Linked DNA regions of Pelodiscus sinensis. The protein of the gene in region 1 interacts with the protein of each later gene in a pairwise test. Links are inferred from orthologs where the notes say so. Each region holds a gene or a part of one and is shown in the gene's direction. Other genes may lie near its edges.

Region 1 (10,779 bases):
AGTGCTTAGGATTCTTCTGTCCCAAGTGCAAGACTCTACACTTGTCCTTTTTGAACCTCATCGGATTTCTTTTGGCCCAATCCTCTAATCTGTTCAGGTCACTCTGGACCCTATCCCTGCCCTCCAGCGTATCTACCTCTCCCCCTAGCTTAGTGTCATCTGTAAACTTGCTGAGGGTGCAATCCATCCCCTCATCCAGATGTTGAATAAAGCTGTTGAACAAAAGCGGTCCAAGAATCAATCGTTGGGGCATTCCGCTAGAAACTGACTGCCAACCTGACATCGAGCCATTGATCACTACCCATTGGGCCCGAAAGTCTAGCTAGCTTTTATCCATCTTACAGTCCATTTATCCAATCTATACTCCCTTAACTTGCTGGCAAGAATATTGTGGGAGACCGTATCAAAAGCTTTGCTGAAGTCAGGATATATTACATCCACTGATTTTTTTCCCATGTCCACAGAGCCAGTTACCTCATCATAGAAGCTAATCAGATTGGTCAGGCACAACTTGCCCTTGGTGAATCCATGTTGACTATTCCTGATCACTTTCCCCTCTTCCAAGTGCTTCAAAATGGATTCCTTGAGGATCCCCTCCATTATTTTTCCAGGGACTGAGGTAAGGCTGATGGGTCTGCAGTTCCCTGGATTGTCCTTCTTCCCTCTTCTAAAGATGGGCACTACATTTGCCTTTTTCCAATCATCCGGAATCTCTCCCAGTCTCTGCGAGTTTTCAAAGATAATGGCCAAATCCTCCACAACTACATTTGCCAACTCCCTCAGTACCCTTGGATGCATTAAATCCAGGCCCATGAATTTGTCTGTTTAGCTTTTCTAAATAGCTCCTAACTTGTTCTTTCCCCACCAAGGGCTGTCCACCTCCTTCCCATACTGCGTTGCCTAGTGCATTTGTCTGGGAGCTGATCTTGTCCGTGAAGACAGAGGCAAAGAAAGCATTGAGTACTTCAGCTTTTCCCACATCATCTGTCACTAGGTTACTTCCTTCATCTAGTAAGGGCCCCACACCCTCTCTGATCACCCTCTTATTGTGAACATGCCTTTCTTGTTACCCTTCACATGCCTTGCCAGCTGCAATTCCAATTGCGCTTTTGCCTTCCCGATAACTCCCCTGCATTCTCGAGCAATATATTTATACTCCTCCCTAGATATCTGTCCAAGTTTCCACTTGGCACATAGGCGCACTCAATCAGTAATGTAAGGTAAACTACAGTGTAACTGTCCCAAAATCAAGAACTACATTGATAAGGTTAAACTTAAAAAAAAAAAAAAAAAAAAAAAAGGTTTAGGAATCAAAATATAATTATGGCACCCTTAACTGTGTCCAGTAGAAATGTCATGGGGGGGGGGGGGGGGGGGAGAGAGGAGAGAGGAGACTAAACTGATTTTGAAGAAATTTTTTTGTAATTTGACCTAGGTCCACAAACCCTAAAGTGCCATAATCCTAAGAGAATAGTGTTTGCATAGTAGCACTACAGGGCATAGTGAAGGTTTCTGCTGAAAGAGAAACATCTAAGGTATGGTCAGGAAAGGCCATAAATCTTTAAAAAATATCTTTAGATATAGCCTATGCACAAGATTTCAGTGAGGTTTTTTTTTTAATCCCATGGGAAGCTGGATGAGTCTGACAGAGCAGATTATAGTTGTTTTGGTGTCAACATCATTTCTTACCTGAACATGCTTAATTTTCTTTATTTGTAACCTTAACTGTGACTTCTTGGGCTTTAGACTGTTTGGTTTGTGGATAGTTATGGTTGTATTGTGGGTTGTAATCCAGACCTGTAAGGAGAGGTTACATCCTGTGTTGTAACCATGGGTGCCTTAAGTGCTGTGCTGCTGTGGCTCACAGCCTGGATACAAACAGCAGTCCCTTGAGTTTTTGCGTGCTCTGCTAGCTTTGTCCTGACCCAGAAGCCTGCCACAAACACAACAGTCTCTCCCTTGTTTCCTCCAGCTGTAGTTATACCTGGCAAGGTGACCTCAGCACACTTCCTGTTCCAAATGTCTACAGAACCACCCACCCTGAAGTGTTCAGCCTTCTCCTGAACCACTTAGATAAATAATAATGTTTATTTACTCCTTTAAAGGCACAGTACCCAAGAGCTTGTGACATTAATTGGAGTTAACTATTACAACAGTTCAGACACTGCACTGGGTTGTTTTAGGTTAAAATAGAACACGTTAATAACACCTGGGTTATGTGATGCCAAATAAAAGAAATAAAGTTAGAGAGAGTTGCTAGCAAATAAAAATACGTGCCTAAAAGTCTAGAACTTCTCTAACAAGGCACAGACTTTTTTGATGATTTTGTTCGCCCATTACCCATGGCTGATGAATTCTCTCAGCCAGGAGCTTCCACGGAAGTACAAGATGATGGTTTCTCATGTGTTCCTAAGTGAAAGATTCAGTTGGACTCTCTTTTTTCCTTATATCCCCAAAGAATTGTCTTAAATATCAGAGTTAGGAAGGCCACCTGTGTTTCTCTGGGGTACGAGGAGCAATGTTGGTTCTCAGTCTCTTGAGTTCAAGCCAGGGTTGCCAACAGTCAGTAAATTTATGGGCAGCCCATAAAAGGAGCTAAAATTGGACCTGTCTGTAAAACATTTCCATGTCAATAAAAACCCACTGAGCTTCCTCCCACTTGGCTCTGGGGCAAGCTCCGCAGGGCAGCTCCGTAGACTCTACAGTTCCTGGGGCAGGGGGGAATTCTCCTGGTGGGGGCTGCTCTTCTTCACCTGTGGTGACCAGCTTTGAGCTCTTTGGTGTCACCAACCCTCATGCTCCTGCTGCAGCCCATCATTCAGCCTTTTCAGCCGTAGCCCCCTCCCCACCCCCATCCCGAGATGTGAAGTAGGTAAAACCTGAAGAAAAGTCTGTTTTCCTCACCCCTTTTGAATTTTGCCTGTGCCCAGAAGAGTCCCAAAAGGGTCACCTGCCTTGCCCGAAAGCTTTCAGAACTTGGAGGATGCGAATGTGGGTAGTAAATAGGTTAAACTAGCATAATAACATTGCTGCTGTGATGTCTGAATAAAAACATTGACTAGTGTTCCCTTTTGTCGTATCTTTATATAGTGTAAGAATGCGTCCGTAAAAAAGTTTCAGTAACTTTTTTTCCATGTTGTCCACAAAAATACTTTTAAGCAGATGGCAATCCTGGTTCAGGCTCAACACAACCCCTGCTGGATCGCTTGATAGCTTTGTTCACAGCTAATGTGTAAACTGAGGTAACCTACATTCCTTTGTCTAGGGCAGATCTGTTTTATCACCTTTGCCTAGGCCAGGCTGTCATCTTGTTCTAGTGACATTGTACAGTAGGCATGTAGAGCTTCACATAAGAAGTTAACACATGCATTTTACACTGATATTAATGAGCCGTGTGCTACAGGTTGAACCTCTAAAATCCATGTCTCTCTGGTCTGGCAGGACCACAAATATTGCTGGGCCATATTACCCTGTTTGGCCAGGTTCAGGAGCAGTGGTGGGGAGCGCCAGCCATGGGCTGGGGCAGGCAGCAGCAAACTGTGCTTCAGGACCACTACGGTCCTGAGAGTGTCCGACTAGGGAGATCCCACCTGTATTAGTTTTAGGTGCTGTCTTGTAAAGGCATATGTTTAAAAAAACGTTTTGCAGTAGTGTGTAGGGTGTGAACACAGCAGTGCGTACAGACAGTTACAGTGTCTTACTATATAGTTTAGAAATGTGCCTCTCTCTGTCCGTCCATCTGTGTGTCTGTTTGTTCAAGAACTCCTCCTAAACAGTAAGAGCTAGGAACATCAGCTTCCTCTTACCTTCACCCCGATCCCCTGCCCCAGGTCAGAATCCCATCCTGCCCTAGGTCTCAACCCAAACTCCTGCATCCCCTCCTACACATCAGTCCCCTGTCCCAGGTCACAACTGCCTCCTTCACCCAAACTCCCTCCCAGATCCCACACCTCCTCCATTAAAGTAATGGAAGAGTATAGCCTTTGACTACTTTCCAAAATTATTGCCCACCTCTGTTCTACTGTATAACCTAGCCACAAGATTTTAGAGAATTTTAACTACAAAAAGTATATTGCAGTTACTGCAGCTGTGGGTCAAAAAGTGAGTGCCTATATTTCTTAGGGATCCCACATTTAATTTTATCTCCACAACTAATAAATAGATTTTTTTTGTAAATTGCCAAGTTCATTCTTTACTCAAAGTGCTGTAGGCTTGCAGATGCTGTGCTGTGTTCTTCGTACATAAGTGTGGCCCTGCTTAAGGGCAAAACTCAAATACACTTTGACTATGAAATGTCTGAGGACACCTCCATAATGCCGCCATTAATTTATTTTTTGAATGTCAGATTTGTTCTTTTTGGAAAACTTACTAAAATGTGTTTGTCCAGAATACTTTACTTCTTCCAAATGCTTAGTCGTTTACAACGCTTGGTCCCTGTGTTGTGCTAGCAATAGACTGTTTCAATTGCTTGCATAAGTACCAATGTCATTAAGAAGTGTACAGAACATTTTCCTCTGTCGCTGTGTAAAGTGGTCTTCATTTCATCCTGCTTGAGTATGAGGGATTGTTTATACTACTACTTAACAGGGGGGAGGGATAGCTCAGTGGTTTGAGCATTGACCTGCTAAACCCAGGGTTGTGAGTTCAATCCTTGCAGAGGCCATTTAGGGATTTGGGGCAAAAATTCATCAGGGATGGTACTTGGTCCTGCTGTGAAGGCAGGGGACTGGACTCAATGACCTTGCAAGGTCCCTTCCAGTTCTAGGAGATAGGCAACCTCCATTATAAAAAAACTTACATTGCTCTGGGTTATGAAAAAGCCATGTAAATTACATCAACTTAGTATGGGGCAGACACCACTTTTATATGGATGTGAGACTCTCTCCCGCCAACACAGCTGTTTCTTCTTGTTGAGGTGGAGTAATTACGCTGAAGGGAAAGCGCTCTCCTGTTGGCGTGGTGTCCTTCACCAGACGTGCTGTAGTGCTGCGAGAGCCCAGTAGTGTAACTAGCCCATAGTCCTCTGCAGGCCATGGAGTCAAATGTCTCTTGTGTGTTACAGAGGAAGCCATTTCGACATATGGAAAAGAGAATGTGAAGATCTACAACACCTCTTTTACCCCCATGTATCACGCTGTAACGCAGAGGAAAACTAAGTGTGTCATGAAGCTGGTTTGTGCTGGCAAAGAAGAGAAGGTGAGCCAAATGAAATAAGTCATAGCTAAAATGTTAAGGAGAATGGAACAGCTTGTATTCTGCTGTTAGCTAAATCGGTGTGGCTAGCGAAAGGTAAAATAACTGGCCCACTGCCAGCAGGATCCTGATTAAACCAGCTAACCGATTACATGGGATTTTACATCCCTACCTCATCATTATTTGTGGCATATGAGGCTGAAGGGGTTCAGCTACGCCGCTCTAGTCTGACCTCATATATAACACAGGTCATAAAATTTCATCTGACTCCTCTTTTGGGCCTAATCAGTGTTTGACTAAAACATCTTTGAGACAGGCCCCCAGTCTTGAGTTGAGCATTTCAAGAGATGAAAAATCCTCTGCTTCCCTGGTAGTTTAATCTGTTCCACGCCCATGCTGATAGATTCCCTCTGGTTTTGCCAGCTGCAGGGGCACAAAGTTAAGATGGTGCTGCAGGGGTAATAGGGACTGTAACTTCGTATTTCCTAGTTTTCAAAGGTTTATATTTTGTCACTTCCCATATTCTGAAGCAAGCTGCTTTCCACAGGCTGGAAACACTACTGGGCGACCTTAACTCTTCACTAACTCCAAATGGGTAGATTTGTTTGAAAGGCTGTTGACTAGGTCAAAAGTAGCTTTTCTCTATGCCAATGAGTGATCAGGTTGATGGAGATTCTCTAGCTGGTTCAGTGATAACTGTCATTAAATGCTCATCTGTATTAAAGTAAGTTTCCTATTGTTTGAAGGTGGTGGGACTACACATGCAGGGACTAGGGTGCGATGAAATGCTGCAAGGTTTCGCTGTAGCAGTCAAAATGGGAGCAACAAAGGCCAGCTTTGATGAGACGGTTGCCATTCATCCAACTTCATCAGAGGAGCTGGTCACACTCCGTTGAAAGGTTGCGTATTTCTGAGGCTTGCAAACCAATCTGTAATACGGCAGCCAAAAACACTTGAAATAGGCTTGCGGAATCATAACTACTTTTCTTGGTGCCATTTAGACAAACTCTTTCTTTTCTGTGACACTCCAGATGATATTCAGATTCTTCTGTTTTTGTAATCTAGACATTTATAATGTGGGGAAAAAATCTGAGCGACGTCCAGTGGTGGTGGCATCTCTTCCTTTCATCCAAATAGCTTGGTTTCTTGAAGCTTCATTGGTTTAGACTGAAAAATAAATAAATAAAATAGTTTAAACTCTTTGGTTCTTGTTTGATTATCTCAGACCTCATAAGCTTATCTAAGCCCATGTTTTGACTGGCTAAGCTATCTGGTGCAAAAGAGATGTCTCAGTTTTCATTACTTTCACCATTGATTTTATCATGTGGGACATGTAGAATTGTCTTCCTCCTGTCTCGTTCAGCATGGCTCTGTGCACGCAGAAAAGCTCCTCTTGAATTATGATTGGCAGAAGGAATTTCAGGGTACGTCTACACTGCAGATGCCTGTGCCACTGACTCAGGGTTCAGAGGCTGTTGATTTACAGTGTCATCACTTGGGTTTATGCTCTAGGATCCTGTGAGGTGAGAGGGTCCCGGAGTGTGAGCTGCAGCACAAGTGCAAACATTAGCACTACAATTAAACAGTGCCTTAGCCTGAGCCCCAGTGAGCTGGCATGGGTCAGGGGCAGGTTATGTGCAGTGTGTACATACTCTCAGGGAGCAAATCTGGCCTTGTGGCTAAGGCACTTGACTGGAACTGAAATTCTAGGTTGTCAGTCTCTATGTAACCCTGGGCAAGTTACTTTCTTTGTCTCGCTCTCTGGCCATGTCTATACTTACCCATAGATTGATGCTCTGGAGGGCCATCTTCTGGCATTCGATTTAGTGGGTCTACTAAGGACCTGCTAAATCAAATGCCAAGGGGCTGCCCCCATTTATACTGGCACTCCTACTCCTTGGAAGGAGTAAGGAAAGATAATGTGAATGTTTCTCCCATCGACCTCCCGCCGTGGCAGTGGTGCCAAAGTTTGACGCAAGGTACTTAATGTAATTAACGTAGCTGAAGTTGCATATCTTAATTCGAACTTATCCCCTAGTGTAGACCTGACCTCTCTCTCTGCCCCAGCTCCCTAGCTGTGAAGTATGGATAGTAATGTCTTTGTCCTCATAGGCATCTGATCTTGGTTCAGTCCTCTCTATGTTCTTTTGGTGTAGAAGTGTGGTGTCGCCATAAATATGGTTGGGTTATAAATTAAGGCATAAATTCTTGTTTTTCTTTAAAAGTAGGTGGGCAGTTGGTACAAAGTGTTTTATTTTAAGCCTGCTGGTGGTGGAGACAGTAATATCAAATCTGCTGGGAAATCCCACAAAGAACCTTTTATCTGAGACAGTGACCAGGCCTGTAAATTGAAATCCCCGCAAGAACTATCCAGTTGCAGTTTGTGATTCCTGAGTTGGAAGTTGGAAGAACACCATGGAAACCTCATACTGGCTACTGCCTCTTGCATGAAGTATCATCTCCACACCACTGAGGCATGAGTTTTATGGGATGTGATTTGGAGTCCTGTCTTCCCACCTGTCGGGGGATTATGGTGGGGATGACTGGTGTGATGAAACACCCCCCCCCCCCCCCCGTGTTCGCACCCTATACATGTTGTACAAAATATGCCTTGTGAAGTTTCATTTGAAAACTAACAACTCACTGGTTGGTAATGTCACAGAGAAATGTGTGTAGTGATAGTAGATATACGATTTAAACAAAAGCTGAAATCATGACAGAATTGTGTTTACCAGGCAAGTCTGGGAGTGGATAAACTTGTTTCTCAAAGACAAAGGACAGACTCACAGCTTTGGCCTGGTGTCCTCTAAGCTGATGGGCCCTCACCAATCAAGTGGCAATTCTTTGGCAAGGGAGAAGGGTGGGGCAGGAGTGAACAGATCTGCACCTTAGCAAACAGCCATTCACCTCTTTCACTAGCAGACTCCTGGATTCCAACCTCACAATAGGAATGACTGTTAGGGATAACCCTCAAGAAAATGGATTTCAAAGAGAGATTGAACTATAAAAAGCGAGTGGAAGAACACACCCTATCCATCTCTTGCTCTCTCACGTGAGAAGACAAAAGAAATCAGCCTATTTGGAAGAGATCCTGACCTTGGTCAGCTTTGTTGCTGGACCCCTCTGGTAAGAATTTTATTTTGGACCAACTCTGTCCTAAGTTTTAGTCCTAGGAAGTGTTTTATCCTTATTTCTCTTGTATCCATGTCTGACTCTGACTTTAAGTGAATACAAGCATAGGGCATTAATCTTGTAGTTTAATACATTTGTTACATTCTTTAATTAAAATCAGCCCAATTTTAACTGTCCATTTATGGCAGGAAACTGTATGTTAATCCCCTTGCAAGAGTTGGGATTACAAAGGGTATGGCTCATCAACCCAGAGTTAGGGGTGGGGTCAGAGGTTTCCTTGGCCTGGGATTTGGATTGGGGTCAGTAGGAGTCTCCAGGCTACACATGGTAAGGCTCCCTGCCCGAGGGTTGGCCAAAAGGGAGGGTTATGGTAACATTTGCAACGGGGAGGGGTCCCTTGCCTAGGGCTAGGGTTACAAAGTAGAGGGCTCCCACTGGCTCCTGAGCCTGGGGCTAGAGTTTGGATCAGTAGGGTTCCTTGGCCTAGAGTGAAGGTTGCGCGCTCAACCCCAGGGTTACTGTTGGGGTCTGTAGGAGCCCCGGGCTAGAGTAGGATTGTCAGTACAGGTGGGGTGCTCTGGCCTATAGTGGGGTTTACAAAGGGTAGGGCCACTAGCCCTAACATTAGGCTTGTTGTTTGGGCTCCCTGCATTGTGGTAGGGAGCCCCTGTGCCTATGGATATGATTGTTGTCAGGACTCCCCAATGGAGGGTTTGAGTTCCAAAGGGTAGGTCCTCCAGTTGTGAGGTCACAGAGCACCTCCGCCCAGGGACTCCCCAGTCTAGGATTAGGGCTACAAAGCATAAAGTCCCATGGCCTGGGATTAGGGTTGGGGTGAGCAGGCGTCCTTGGTGTAGGTTTGGGTTGGGTCAGTACAAATCCCTGTCTTATGGTACAGGTTGGGTCATCAAATTTCCAAGCAGAAGGTTTGGTTAGAAATGGTAAGGCGACCCGCCCTTGGGTTTAGATTACAATGGGTAGGGTTCCTTCTCCTAATTTCAGGACTGGGGCCAACAGGGCTCCCCATGCTAGGGGTAGGGCTCCCTGGCCTAGAGCTAAGATTGGGGTCAGCAGGACTCCCTGCCTAGGTTCAGAGTTGGGGTTAGCAGGGCTCCCTCACATCGGGTTAGGGTTACACAGCATAGTGCCCCCAAGCAGGGTGAGGGTGAAGGTCAGAGAGTCCCTAGGGGTATGTAAGGGTTGGAGTTAGCAAGGCTCTCTTGCCTGGGGTTCGGGTTGTTCCCGGTCTCAGATTAGGGTTGGGATCCGTGGTTCTTACCAAGGGAAGGACTCTGGTTTAGTGGTAGGGTTATAAGGTGTGGACTTCCTGACCTATAGTTAGGGTTGGACTGGATGCAGCTCCCAAGTCTAGGGTTCGAGTGGGTGTGACTAACCCGCCTCCCCGCGTAAGGTCCGGGTTGCAGCAGTTTAGGCCTCCCCAGCCTAAGATTAGGCCAGGGCATGGTACAGATACCAACCCTCGGGTTAGGGGTGGCCTCGGTGGGGGTTGTCAGGAGTGCTTCTCAGACTAGCATTGGGGCTGGTGGAGATTCCCATTTAGGGGTATGGTTACAAGGGGGGGGCTCCGCAGCCCAGGCTTAGCATGGGGGTCACTACGCTGTGCAGCCTGAGGTTCACGGTGATCAGTAGGGCTTCTGGGCCTAGGGCAGGGTCAGTAGGGCTCCCCGCTTTGTGCTTCATTACAAAGGGCAGGGCTTCCCAGCTGAGGGCAAGGGTACAGTGGGCAGAGTGAGAACTGTTAGTAGGGCTCCCCAGGGCTGGGGCCAGCAGGACTCTCCAGGCTATGGTTAGAGTTGGGAGCAGAAATGAGACACACACTGGCTGCTCACTCGGCTGTCCGTCCCTAGGAAACAGCTGTGGGTGCTCACAGCTCGTATCCTATCCTTCTTTCTGACACTGGTGCCCCACCGCACAAGCCAGGGGCAGGACCTCCTACCGCCTGTGGAGGGTGAGGAGCACCAGTCTGAATGGCGCCCTGGTCCCCTGACCCACTGGCAGGCTCCTTCCCAGAGCAGTTGCATGTGAGTGTGTACTTGTGGGGGTGACCCCTGCCTCTGCGACACTTGCCCCTTTATGTGGCGCAAGGGAGACGTCGGCCCACATCTCCTGCCACGGTGCCAGGCTGCAGCCCCTTGTCCGACTCCTCCAGGGCCTTCTCTTCAGGTTCCAGCCGCGCCTCCGCCTGATCCGCGCATCTCCCTCCGGAGCCCCGTAAAGTCTCCCGGCTTCAGGAGCCACCTCCTGGCTCGGGCGGTCATCCACCCTCCAGGAGAAGGAAGCTGGACTGGCACTGTGGAGCCTATTTCCACGCCTCCCTGAAGTCGTCTCTGGGCAGAGCTCCCCTGGGCCGCGTCCAGCGGTTGCTTTCATCCGGGGTCCTCTGCGCAGTGTTTCCCCCTCTGCACCCATGACCTGATCCCGGTGATCTTCACT
Region 2 (11,260 bases), on another chromosome or scaffold:
CGAACGGGAGCAGCATAATTTTTCCGGAAAAGCACTGATGATTTTACATTAGATCGTCAGTGCTTTTCCGGAAATTCAAGCGGCCAGTGTAGACAGCTGGCAAGATTTTCCGGAAAAGCGGCTGATTTTCCAGAATAACTTGCCAGTGTAGACACAGCCACATTGTTTATGATTCCCCAAATTATTACATAATTGCATACCATAGAAAGATGTAATTCTGACCCATGCAGCTCATGAAGAAGCTAGAACATTTCTGTAAAAGTGCCTTAAGGTTTTGTATGATTTGTAATAGATCACATACTGCTATCTGTCTTCCAAAGTTTTATATAAATCTTGTATTCTTTACAGAATACTTAACTTTTCCCTGCAAATTGAAAATGTATTTCTAATGGTTTTTGGCCTGGTTTGCTTCTGGATTATTACTGTTTACTACAATACCCAAAACTGTGCTGCACAGGCTTTTAAATAGCATCTTTCATCGAAAAGAGACAAACTAGAAGTTCCTCTTCCTAACCCCATTTGTATCAAGCAAAAAGGACTGTGATTCAGTATTCTTGGATTTGATACCCAACTCTGATGGTTTGCTCTGTGTGCCTCTGCCAAATCACATTACTTTCTGATATGTTTAGTAAAATGTATATAATTTATGTTCCTCTCAGGATTGTAAAATTTAATTATCTATTTGTGAAGCTGTGTGAGAACTGCAATATAGGTAAAGAGTAAGTTTTCTGTGAAGCATGAAAATACAAGCCATTAAGGCCACGTCTTCACTATGTGGAAAATCGATGCTGTCTGGGGTTTGATTTAGTGGGTCTAGTGAAGACCCGCTAATTCAAACTCAGAGGGCACCCCTGTCAGTACTGGTACTCCTGCTCCTCAAGAAGAGTAAGGGAAGCTGACAGAAGCACTTACTCCAGTCAACCTCCAGCAGTGTGGACAGCGTGGAAATGCAATTTAAACTACGTCAACTCTAGCTATGTAATTAATGTAGCTGGAGTTGCATATCTTAATTCAACCTTGAGCTGTAGTGTAGACCAGGCCTAGGTATATAGACTCCATCTTTTGCACCTAGCACTCTTCACAACTGCCATTGGTTGAGTATCAGGATTCCTTGCAAATCTTATAAGTGCAGTATAAAACCTCTGAAAGGGAACTCAAATTGCCTAGCTGTGTTGCCATGCTATTAAAAACAATGGCTTCAATTTCTGAAGTCATGAACGGGGCACACAGATGAGAACAGGGCACACAAGGGATTAAACTTGCAAAATGTGGTTTAAAACAATACTAAAGAAAATTGCTTACAGACTCAGAATTGTGACCCACTGTATAATGTTAGGCAACTCCCTTAGTCTATCTGTGCCTTATTATACCTTTCTTACAGCTGGATAAACTAATATATTAATGGGATGTTGAGAAGTTTGATTAATAATGTACATAAAACACTGTGAGATGAAAGGATAAAAGTTGCTCACATTGCTGGAGCTTAGTCCCCAAGTTTAAAGGATTTCTTTCTGAAGCTCACTGTGCATTTTATTTTTTCTGAAACTATAGCTGCTAGTGTCAAATACCAGCAAATTAGCAGGGCATAAACCATCTGTTTTCCCTAAAACTGACTATTCTTACATTTACATAGGAAAATGAATGCAGATACTTTTTTTGGTCCCCACAGCTGTTCCTTCCTAAGAAACAGAGCAGGAACATTTTCCTATGATGCAAAGGACTGGTAAATTTGAGTGCCATGTCATGTCAGAGATTTGGTCTGAGGCCAGAATCATTTGTCATGTTTTGTTTCAAGAGCCAATCCCCCAGCCTGGGTTGGGGGATAACGCAGCAACAGGTGTCATTTATTTATGATAACTGGTGGGCCAGAGGACAAGTTGGCAGAGGACCTGAGACTATATCATAGTCTAATAAAAACCCTCATCACATTCTTAAAGAGTTCTGACATTGACAGCTGAAGTACTCTGACACACATGCAGTTGTGTATGCCTTACATGCGAGTCTCTCACTGTTTTTGCAGGGGACGCCAATGAGGCTTTATGATCTCTTCAGGGTTGTGAGGGCCCTGCCCAATCTGAATCTGAATGGATACATTGGAAATACTGGGATAAGGCTGCAGCAGATGCATGATTAATTCATTGATCTTTTCAATATAAGACATACAGATATGTTTCATAGAGGAGTTCACTCCTCTTCTACCATTTTTACTCTTTCATCGTTGATCCTTGGTGGTTATTTTCATTCTGCAAACAGCCCCATAGCAATTAAAGGACTACCTAAAAATACTGTTATGCTTATAAAAAGCACATGGGATTTTTTTCAGAGGAAAAAGCAATACACTGTGTTTATTGCAAATACAACATGAAAAGCAATGTATGCATTCACACACACAAAGGTCATGCAGATGATCTTACCAGTTACCAGTCTGTTGTGATTCATCAATCTATTCGCTAGTTAGATTGAACATGAGTGAAGAGCTGGGTTCTGTCGGTTGTGATTTGAGGCTCCGAGGCTTGGCTTTGCAGGACCAAACCTAGAGTCCCATGGTAAAATCACCCCATTTTTATACTTGTAAGATCTCATTTGAGTCTATGAGGTTTTGCAGTGTCATGCTGCAATCTCTGATGTGTTAATAATCTTGTGGTTTTCCTATAATTATCATTTGTTTATGATCAAACTTCTCATCATTATCTCTTGTTTGTCATCTCACTTTGGGGATGGGTCTCTGCCTGTCTCCAAGGTTCTGCAACTCTGCTAATTTAACTCTAGTGTGAGCACAATGGATGCTTCTTGGTCATCTCCAAATTTCTCACGTGTTTGTGACCATCTGGACATTTGTAATGGCTTTCACACACATTCTTCAACTACGCTCACAACCTCCACTCACAACCAAACAATTCACCGAGAATTTCCAGTTAAACAATTTTGCAGAGTGTTTCAGACAGGATTACATTTTAAAAAGGATTATATAGTTACTAACGGACATAACTTGGTTTGCAATGCAGACAAAAGCCACAATTTAATTTGTAATGCTAATAAGAAGCAAGACCTTATAGCAAACATTGTCTAATCATGAGTGGCAGGATGAAACAGAAGTACACAAAACGTATAAGCAAATAATTATATAGGACTTATTACTATCATTATATTTATATTCTTATACCAACATTAAAATGCTGCATTTTGGCTACAATATCTGGTATGACTGAAAGCAAAATACATGGTATGTGCAGCAGGAATGGCAGTGCGAATGTTCAGACTTCGGCTGGGAGCCATATTCTGAAACACAGTGAGGGCTTCAGGGCCCAGGACTCATCACGAGCCTGGATGTGATTTGCTGTGTAGACATACCCTGAGCCTCTGATGAGACTGTAGAATCAGTCTCTCAGGCCCATTCACTCTGGCTGTGTCTACATTGGCATCCCTTTCTGGAAAAGGGATGCTAATGAGACACTTCGGAATTGCAAATCCGCGGGGGATTTAAATATCCCCCGCGGCATTTGCATTTACATGGCTGCCGCTTTTTTCCGGCTTGGGGTTTTTGCCGGAGAAAAGCGCCAGTGTAGACGCGATTCTCCGGAAAATACCGTATATATTCGAGTATAAGCCGAGTTTTTCAGCACAGTTTTTGTGCTGAAAAATGCCCCCCTCAGCTTATACTCGAGTCAGCATCTCGAGAACTGAGGCGGGCGGGCTCAGCGCGTCTCTGCCGCTGGCCGGGGCTAGCCGGGTCTAGCCCCGGAAGTCGGGGTGAAAGCTGCTCCGGTGCCCCTGGTCTGCTGGAGACCGTCTCCAGCAGACATGGGGCACCGGGCGGGTTCCCGCGCTTCTGAGGCTTTGCCAGAGCAAAGCCTCAGAGGCGCGGGACCCCCCGTGGCTGCGGCTTCAGTCCGGGAGCATGTGGTCTGCTGGGGACGGTCCCCAGCAGACCACAGGCACCCAGATTGAAGCGGCAGCAGCGGCGGTTCCTCTGGCAAAGCCTCAGAGGCGCGGGGAACCGCCGCTGCTGCCGCTTCAATCTGGGTGCCTGTGGTCTGCTGGGGACCGTCCCCAGCAGACCACAGGCTCCCGGACTGAAGCCGCAGCCACGGGGGGTCCCGCGCCTCTGAGGCTTTGCTCTGGCAAAGCCTCAGAAGCGCGGGAACCCGCCCGGTGCCCCTGGTCTGCTGGAGACGGTCTCCAGCAGACCAGGGGCACCGGAGCAGCTTTCGCCCCAACTTCCGGGGCTAGACCCGGTATCTATCTTCATTTTTTACATTTACCAGTAGCTGCCTCATTTCCTACCCTAGGCTTATACTCGAGTCAATACTTTTTCCCAGTTTTTTGGGGTAAAATTAGGTGCCTCGGCTTTTATTCGGGTCGACTTATACTCGAGTATATACGGTAAGCCCTTTTCCGGAAGATCCCTTATTCCTACTTTCAATAGGAATAAGGGATCTTCCGGAAAAGGGCTTATTTTCCGGAGAATCGCGTCTACACTGGCGCTTTTCTCCGGCAAAAACCCCGAGCTGGAAAAAAGCGGCAGCCATGTAAATGCAAATGCCGCGGGGGATATTTAAATCCCCCGCGGATTTGCAATTCCGAAGTGTCTCATTAGCATCCCTTTTCCGGAAAGGGATGCCATTGTAGACACAGCCCCTAAGTATTTAACCAAAGTGGAACAGATTTAATAGGACAGATGGCGGGAGCTCCATATCAAAATATCCCATGGTGCAGTGATTAAAGCACTTTCCTGAAAGGTGGGAGAACCCTGTTCAAATGTTTTGTCCCCATCAGACAAAGGGAGGAATATGAACCTGGATCTCTGACCTCCCAAGTAAGTGTTCTACTCATCAGGCTAATAGTTGAAATAGAGATAATACTACTACCTCCTCTTCCAGCCTGATTCTGAATAGGCACTGATCCAGCATGCCTACTGGACTGGGCCACATCACAGTGATTCTGGAACAGTTTTTATAGTGAAGATGCTGAAGGCAGGAACCATGTATCTGAGTTATTATACAATAGCATTACACAATTCCATCCTGTTATACAACATTCTTTCACTGTATAACATCATCATGCCACAGTAAAATGTTGTGATGATTTTCAGGTGAGTTCAATAATATGGACCTGGTCCACTGTAGCTGGGTGATGCTTTAAAATTCAGGATGGGTAGGTAGCATATGTACTATGTTGGGCAGTTCTGAAAGTCAGTCCTCTTTCTAGCTGGACAAAACAAATTTCCACGTGTCATTTTAGCTCTTCTCTATTTATGGAAAAGACTGAAAAATAAGGGAATTTATATATGCATATAAACTTTTGGCAGATGAGTTGAAATTACATTTTTGGTGGCTGTCTTCAACTGGGACTATAAAGTCAAATTTTGAGTCCTTTTATGGTTTCTTTTTTTCTTTCAGTATATCCAGTGAAACTTTATCATTGCCCTGCACTTTTTGAAAGAGCTCTTTCTTACATTAGTTGTTGGGTTCCCTAATATATATATTTGCACATATTCATAGCATCACTCAAGGACTTTTAAAGCTGTGTTCATACTAAATGCAGGACAATGTAGCACTTTAAAGACTAACAAGATGGTTTATTAGATGATGAGCTTTCGTGGGCCAGACCCACTTCCTCAGATCAAATAGTGGAAGAAAGTAGTCACAACCATATATACCAAAGGATACAATTTAAAAAAATGAACAAATATGAAAAGGACAAATCACATTGCAGAACAGAAGGGGGATGCGGGGGGGTGGGAAGGGGGAGAAAGGAAGGTAAGTGTCTGTGAATTGCTGATATTAAAGGTAGGGAGAGTGGGATGTTTGTGAGTTAATGGTATTACAGGTGATAATTGGGGAAACTGTCTTGGTAATGGGTGAGAAAGTTCAAAGTCTTGTTAAGTCCTTGTTGGCAAGTGTCGAATTTTAACATGAATGACAGTTCAGAGGATTCCCTTTCAAGTGCAGATGTAAAAGGTCTTTGTAGCAGAATGCAGGTGGCTAAGTCATTTAGAGAGTGTCCTTTCTGGTTAAAGTGGCAAGAAACTGTTTTCTCTTTGTGATCTTGTCTGATATCTGTTTTGTGGGCATTAATCCTTTGGCGAAGTGTCTGAGATGTTTGTCCAATGTACATAGCAGACGGACACTTTCGGCACATGATAGCATAGATTATATTTCTGGATGCGCAGGAATATGTGTTCTTGATCTTATAACTCACTTGGTTAGGTCCAATAATGGTTTCAGCAGAATGAATATGTGGACAAAGCTGGCAACGGGGTTTGTTGCAAGGGAAGGTACCAGGGTTGGTATTAGTGTGGTATGTCCTGTGGTGGTTGGTAAGAATCATCTTGAGGTTAGGTGGTTACTGTTCATACTAGTTTTTCCTTGATTGGTATATGAACATGAGTATTTGAAAATCATGTAAAATGACATGGTCTGTTATAGACCTCGACAGTTCCTAGAGCCAAAAATCCAAATCTTCATCTATATTTAGGTATCTAAGTGGCCTGATTTTTCTAGAATAGCTGCAGTTTGCACAGCAATAGCTATGTTTTATGCTTTACAGTTTTACATATTGGCCCTATTCCTGCATATTTTAACAGCTGCTTTCAAAGCATTTTATGTTCATTCAGATAGCCACCTAATGGCAAAACCGCATACTTTAAAATGGTCAATAAGTAATGCTGAAAAATATGTCCGGGATGAGAAAAACATAAGTGTTTTTTTTCTGAGAGTTGCATTAGTTGCTGAGCGCAACTTGGTCTTTCAATGCGGGCAGCTTGTTTAACTATTGTGATTTTTGACAGCAACGAACGTGAGACGTGATCAGCTCCCAAGAGTGGCTCACGTTAGCAGTGGGACGGGGGGCTCTGGTTAGCCTCCCCAGGAGTCAGGCGGGAGGGTGTGTGAGTCCAGCTGGAGGGCTCCAGCTGTGAACGCTTGGCTGGGGGATGTCTGGCAGGTTTCCACCTGCGCGCGGGGACGTGCTTCTCCGACACCCTTTTGCACTCAGGCTGGACCGTCTCTCCTGCTCCCACCTGACACTAGCTCGGCCGCGCTTGCAGCACTGCTAGGCCCAATGGGTTACTGGGGGCGGCGAAAGGAAGATCATCTGAAGCGCATGCGCCCCTCCAGGAGGGCTTGAAGTGCAGCAAGAACACCCCTTGCGCCTGCGCCGTCTGTAACATTGGCCCTAGAGGAGTCCCTCACGCATGCGCCCTTGCTAAAGTTGCGAAGCGAAGCGGTCGCGGCAAGAAACCAGGTGGCGGCGCATGCGTCGTGGTTTGCTGGCGGTCCGGTCTCTGAGGCGGGGAGGAGGTGCGGGGGTTGGTCTCTCCCCCCCATTTAACGGAGCGGGGCCGAGCGAGGCGCTTTCGGGTGCCCGCGCGGGAGGAGCAGAGCAGAGAGCGCGGCGGGATTCCTGGGGCGAGCCGCCGCCCCTCGACCGTGAAGCGCTCTCCACCCCGCCTTCTCCCCGCCCGGGACTGAGTCCGGTGGCCACAAAATGGCGGATGGGGAGCTGAATGTGGATAGTCTCATCACCCGGCTGCTGGAAGGTGAGCGAGCCCCCCCCGGCACGCGCACACCGGGGAGGGTGTTTAGGGGTCTCTCCCCCTCCCCCGTGCACGCGCACACACACGGGGTGCGGGGCTAGTGAAGAGCAAGGGGCGAGGCGGGATCCCGCGCTAGCACACAAGGGTGGGTAGGGGGCGAGGCGGGATCCTTCCCTTCACTCACACTCACTCACTCACTCCCCCCTCCCACTCCCCCTGCCCCTCCCACTCCCCCTCCCGGCGCCTAAGCAGTAAGTTGGGCCCAGTTTGCCCGGTGTGGGGAGAGCGCGCGGCAGCGAAGGAAGGTCTGGGAGGCGATCGCTCCCGCGCTAGTAGGTGCTCTAAGCTCTGTCGCGGATGGGGGGGGGGAGACGTACGTGCGTGCTACATTGCTGCTGCTGAGAGAGTGGGGAGAAGTAGGAGTTGTTTTGAGTGCACTGAGCCCTCGGTGCGCTGTTAAACTAGAGGAGACATCAAAGGCTAATGCGTTTAAGCCCCATATTCAGAAGGCGGCTGGGCGTGCCTGAGCGCGCGTGCGCGCCCGCATTAGGCGGGGGGCTGTGTAAAGTGAGTTCCTGCCCCATATCAGTGCTGCATGTGTTTAAAGCCCAGGGTCGGGACAGCTTCCCCAAGTGATGGGTGTGCTAGAAAAGCCTAGCTAGTGAGTGGTCTCCCTCCTTCCTATCAGACCGGTAGCTGTTTTTCATGGTTTTAAAAATAGACATTTTTGGTGTGTGTATGGAGATGCAGGAAGGTTTTTGTCTCCTGCAGTTCTTCTGCCTAGCTATGGGGCTATTTCTAATGTTGGTTATAGAGGCGGAGAAGAATGAGTGAGGGGGTTAATATGCGAAACAGCTGACTGTTTTCCAAGGAGTAGGATGCTATACTACTATCCTTATAAATCCATTTGATGATGATCATGGACAGGGATGATCTTGTCTTATTTTCTTTTTGATGACCCCCAACAAATATCTGGTGAGGGGAAAAAACATGTCTGTAGTTTTAAAAATGTATGTAACTTCTGGATTTGAAAGGCTACCAATGAGACTTACCATATAGATTTTGCTTAGGAGTGCGAACTGTTGGCTTCTTGGTGGTATCTTATTTAACTACTTGATAACCTAACATGACACACAGGTTTGTGAACATCATTTTGTAGTCATTCCTTCATCTTGCTAAAAGTGAAATGGTGCTTCACTAGAATGTCATTGAATATAAAATAAGCAACTCTTAATGAAATGATAAATCTTACACTTTGTATTCTTTGTTAGTATGTCTGTATTTAAAGTATCCAGTGTAGTGAGAGAACTTGCAAGTACCTGTATTTATCGGTCAGTGTAGATAGATAATTCAGCATTAGGTTAGAGTTCATTTCTGAGTGACTTGAAGCTTGAAACATTGCTAGCAAGTTTAAACACGACACTTTTACCAATGAATTTTGTCTTGTTTTTTATTATTGTTACAGATAGTCACAAATGGGACTAGTTATCATTCACTTTTTACTATAAGCTCAATTTTTAGGGGGGGGGGGTGCCTGTAAAATAATTTGGCTCAAATCTTTGTCTGGAGCAGCACTTTTTACTATGTTTTAATAAGATTAAATCTATCTACTATATATCTGAGAGAGTTGTCTGTTCAAGAACTCCTCCTAAATGGTAAGAGTTAGGACTACCAAATTTGGTATACAGCTTCTTCCTCTTATCATAACTCAAAGCAACGTAAGGGTTTGGATGTGCCTAGACTGGGAGTGCTTCTCATAAAACAGTGCAGAAAAGAGGCAGAGTTACCAGATAAGTGAAAGGGGCTGGCTGCCTCTAGCCTCCTACTCCCCAGGTGCCCTTTAGGTAGGATGGGGAGGTGAATCTCCCCCCTCAATTCATATGGGGACATTGCTGGCTGTTGCTCTTTATTAAGAAGTGAGGGGAAAGTGCATAGTTTATGCATTCCTCACTTTGTCTGGGGAGTACAGGGGACAGATGAACCTGAATCTGCTCCAGCTGGTAGACATGCAACCTCCCCTGGCTGTGCCCACTGGAGCTGCATGAGGTGCTTCTTGTCTGGCCCCAAGCTGCTGCCACCCTGAGAGGGGGATGGAGTAGTCCAGGCCAGCCTGCATACTGAACTCCTCATCCACAGCCCTACCCCAGAGCAATGATTTAAATGCAGTATGTTTGTTTTTCATTCCGTTTTACAAAAGACAAATACTGAGTTATAGACCCAAGCAAGAGTTATTTTTTAAAGTTGCTATTAAAAGGGCAGGCCTAGCCTCCAACATATATCTTAGTGTTTGTTTGCTAAGACAATAACTTGTGTAACTTTTCTGATGTGCATATCCATATTAAAATAGTTGATAAAATAATGTTTTGAGGGTGTAGCTGAAAGAGTCTGTATCTGCTCCAAAAAAAAAAAGGAGTCCTATGGCACCTCAGATCACTTCCACCTTGTTGGTTACTTAGATTCACAGTTGAGACTGTTTGGGAAATTGGTGCTTAAAGATCTTTTCACAATATTAAAATGTGTGATAAAGGCAAATTTTAGACTTAACAGGTCAAATTTGTGCAAGTCTGTGTACAACTTTTTTAAACTTTGTAAATCAAAATCTTAGAGATTTTTAAACTTTTTGTTTAACTTGAGTGTAAAAAAATTAAGGAAAATCTGTGTCTTGACAAACAGATATTTCTTCACTTACCTCCCACTGAGTTTAACATGGAGTTTGCATACGTCTCTGATCCGAAGGAAAATAGACGGTTCTCTTACTGCATTGTTGTAGGTTTCCCCAGACAGCGGGCATGTTTTTGTCTCCGTTTACACTTTTGCTTATTTCACACTTTCCAGTTTCTGCGCTATGAATGTACTGTACTATAGGATGAATAAAAGATTGAATATTGCAGTCTTAATTATAAAGTTTCTTTTATGTAATCTAACACTTAATGATTTATAGTTTGACATTGCTTCTGCTCTGGTAAAGTTGCGGTGTAAAATATGTTTCAAGCCAAAGATAAACCTGTAAATTCTCAATCTAGGAGCACTATTTTACCTATTGTCAATTGTGTTTTAGCACTTCCAGATTAGATGGTCAAAAACAGTTGTTTTATAATGAAAGCATGTATTTAAAAGCTTTGAGAATATTATTGCAGTGTGGTATTCCACAGCTTGTTCTAGGTCCTTCTGCTCCCTTTAAATGAAATGGATGTCTTGATCAGCAATTACAGTAGTTTTTCAATAGCTGCTGCTTGAAACTCATTTTGCAGTGCACTAATTAACAAAAATAGTAACACTAGCAAGAATTTTCTGACCTCTCTAGATTGCTGGATGAATACACCTGTTTTTGCATAGGAACCTAGTAGTCATGATTCATGCACTTACTTTGAGATGGGATTATAGTACTGCAACTACCTGTTTCTTAGTCAATCGAGGCCAATAAAATTCCGTCTTGGACAACATAAGGCAACCTGTCCCTCTTGATCAGAACTAGCTGCTGAGAGCACCTCAGTGTAGTCTACCTTCTACTTGCTTCCCTTTTAGTGCTAGGTTCCAGTTTTCAAAGTTCGAAAGCATGCTACATCTGAAGCTCAGACGCCTGCACTAATGAATGTGTGCACACATGCTCATTTCAGAGAATAGCAACTCTACAGATCTGGGAGCCAAGTTTCTTAATGTTGGATTCTAGACTAAATATTCTTTTTGAAGAGATCGGAGTAATTCTTAGATTAGCTTCTCAGT

The links. The genes of interacting proteins can lie anywhere in the genome.
Region 2: the proteins of SH2D4A (region 1) and PPP1CB interact in binary tests that used the Homo sapiens proteins (3 or more experiments, as listed by UniProt). The two-hybrid records come from large-scale screens. The link is inferred for Pelodiscus sinensis from reciprocal best matches to the Homo sapiens genes SH2D4A and PPP1CB.

The regions. Positions count from the first base shown.
Region 1 is NC_134715.1:4,802,532-4,813,310, reverse strand, and holds the start of SH2D4A (SH2 domain-containing protein 4A), read left to right. Parts: upstream 1-6,542; 5' UTR 6,543-10,779. Other genes in the region: GSR (glutathione reductase, mitochondrial), read left to right, coding at 5,063-5,196, 5,940-6,089. UniProt on the Homo sapiens protein: Inhibits estrogen-induced cell proliferation by competing with PLCG for binding to ESR1, blocking the effect of estrogen on PLCG and repressing estrogen-induced proliferation. May play a role in T-cell development and function.
Region 2 is NC_134713.1:160,759,373-160,770,632, reverse strand, and holds the start of PPP1CB (serine/threonine-protein phosphatase PP1-beta catalytic subunit), read left to right. Parts: upstream 1-7,234; 5' UTR 7,235-7,488; coding exon 7,489-7,540; intron 7,541-7,845; exon of another isoform or gene 7,846-7,868; coding exon of another isoform or gene 7,869-7,869; intron 7,870-11,260. UniProt on the Homo sapiens protein: Protein phosphatase that associates with over 200 regulatory proteins to form highly specific holoenzymes which dephosphorylate hundreds of biological targets.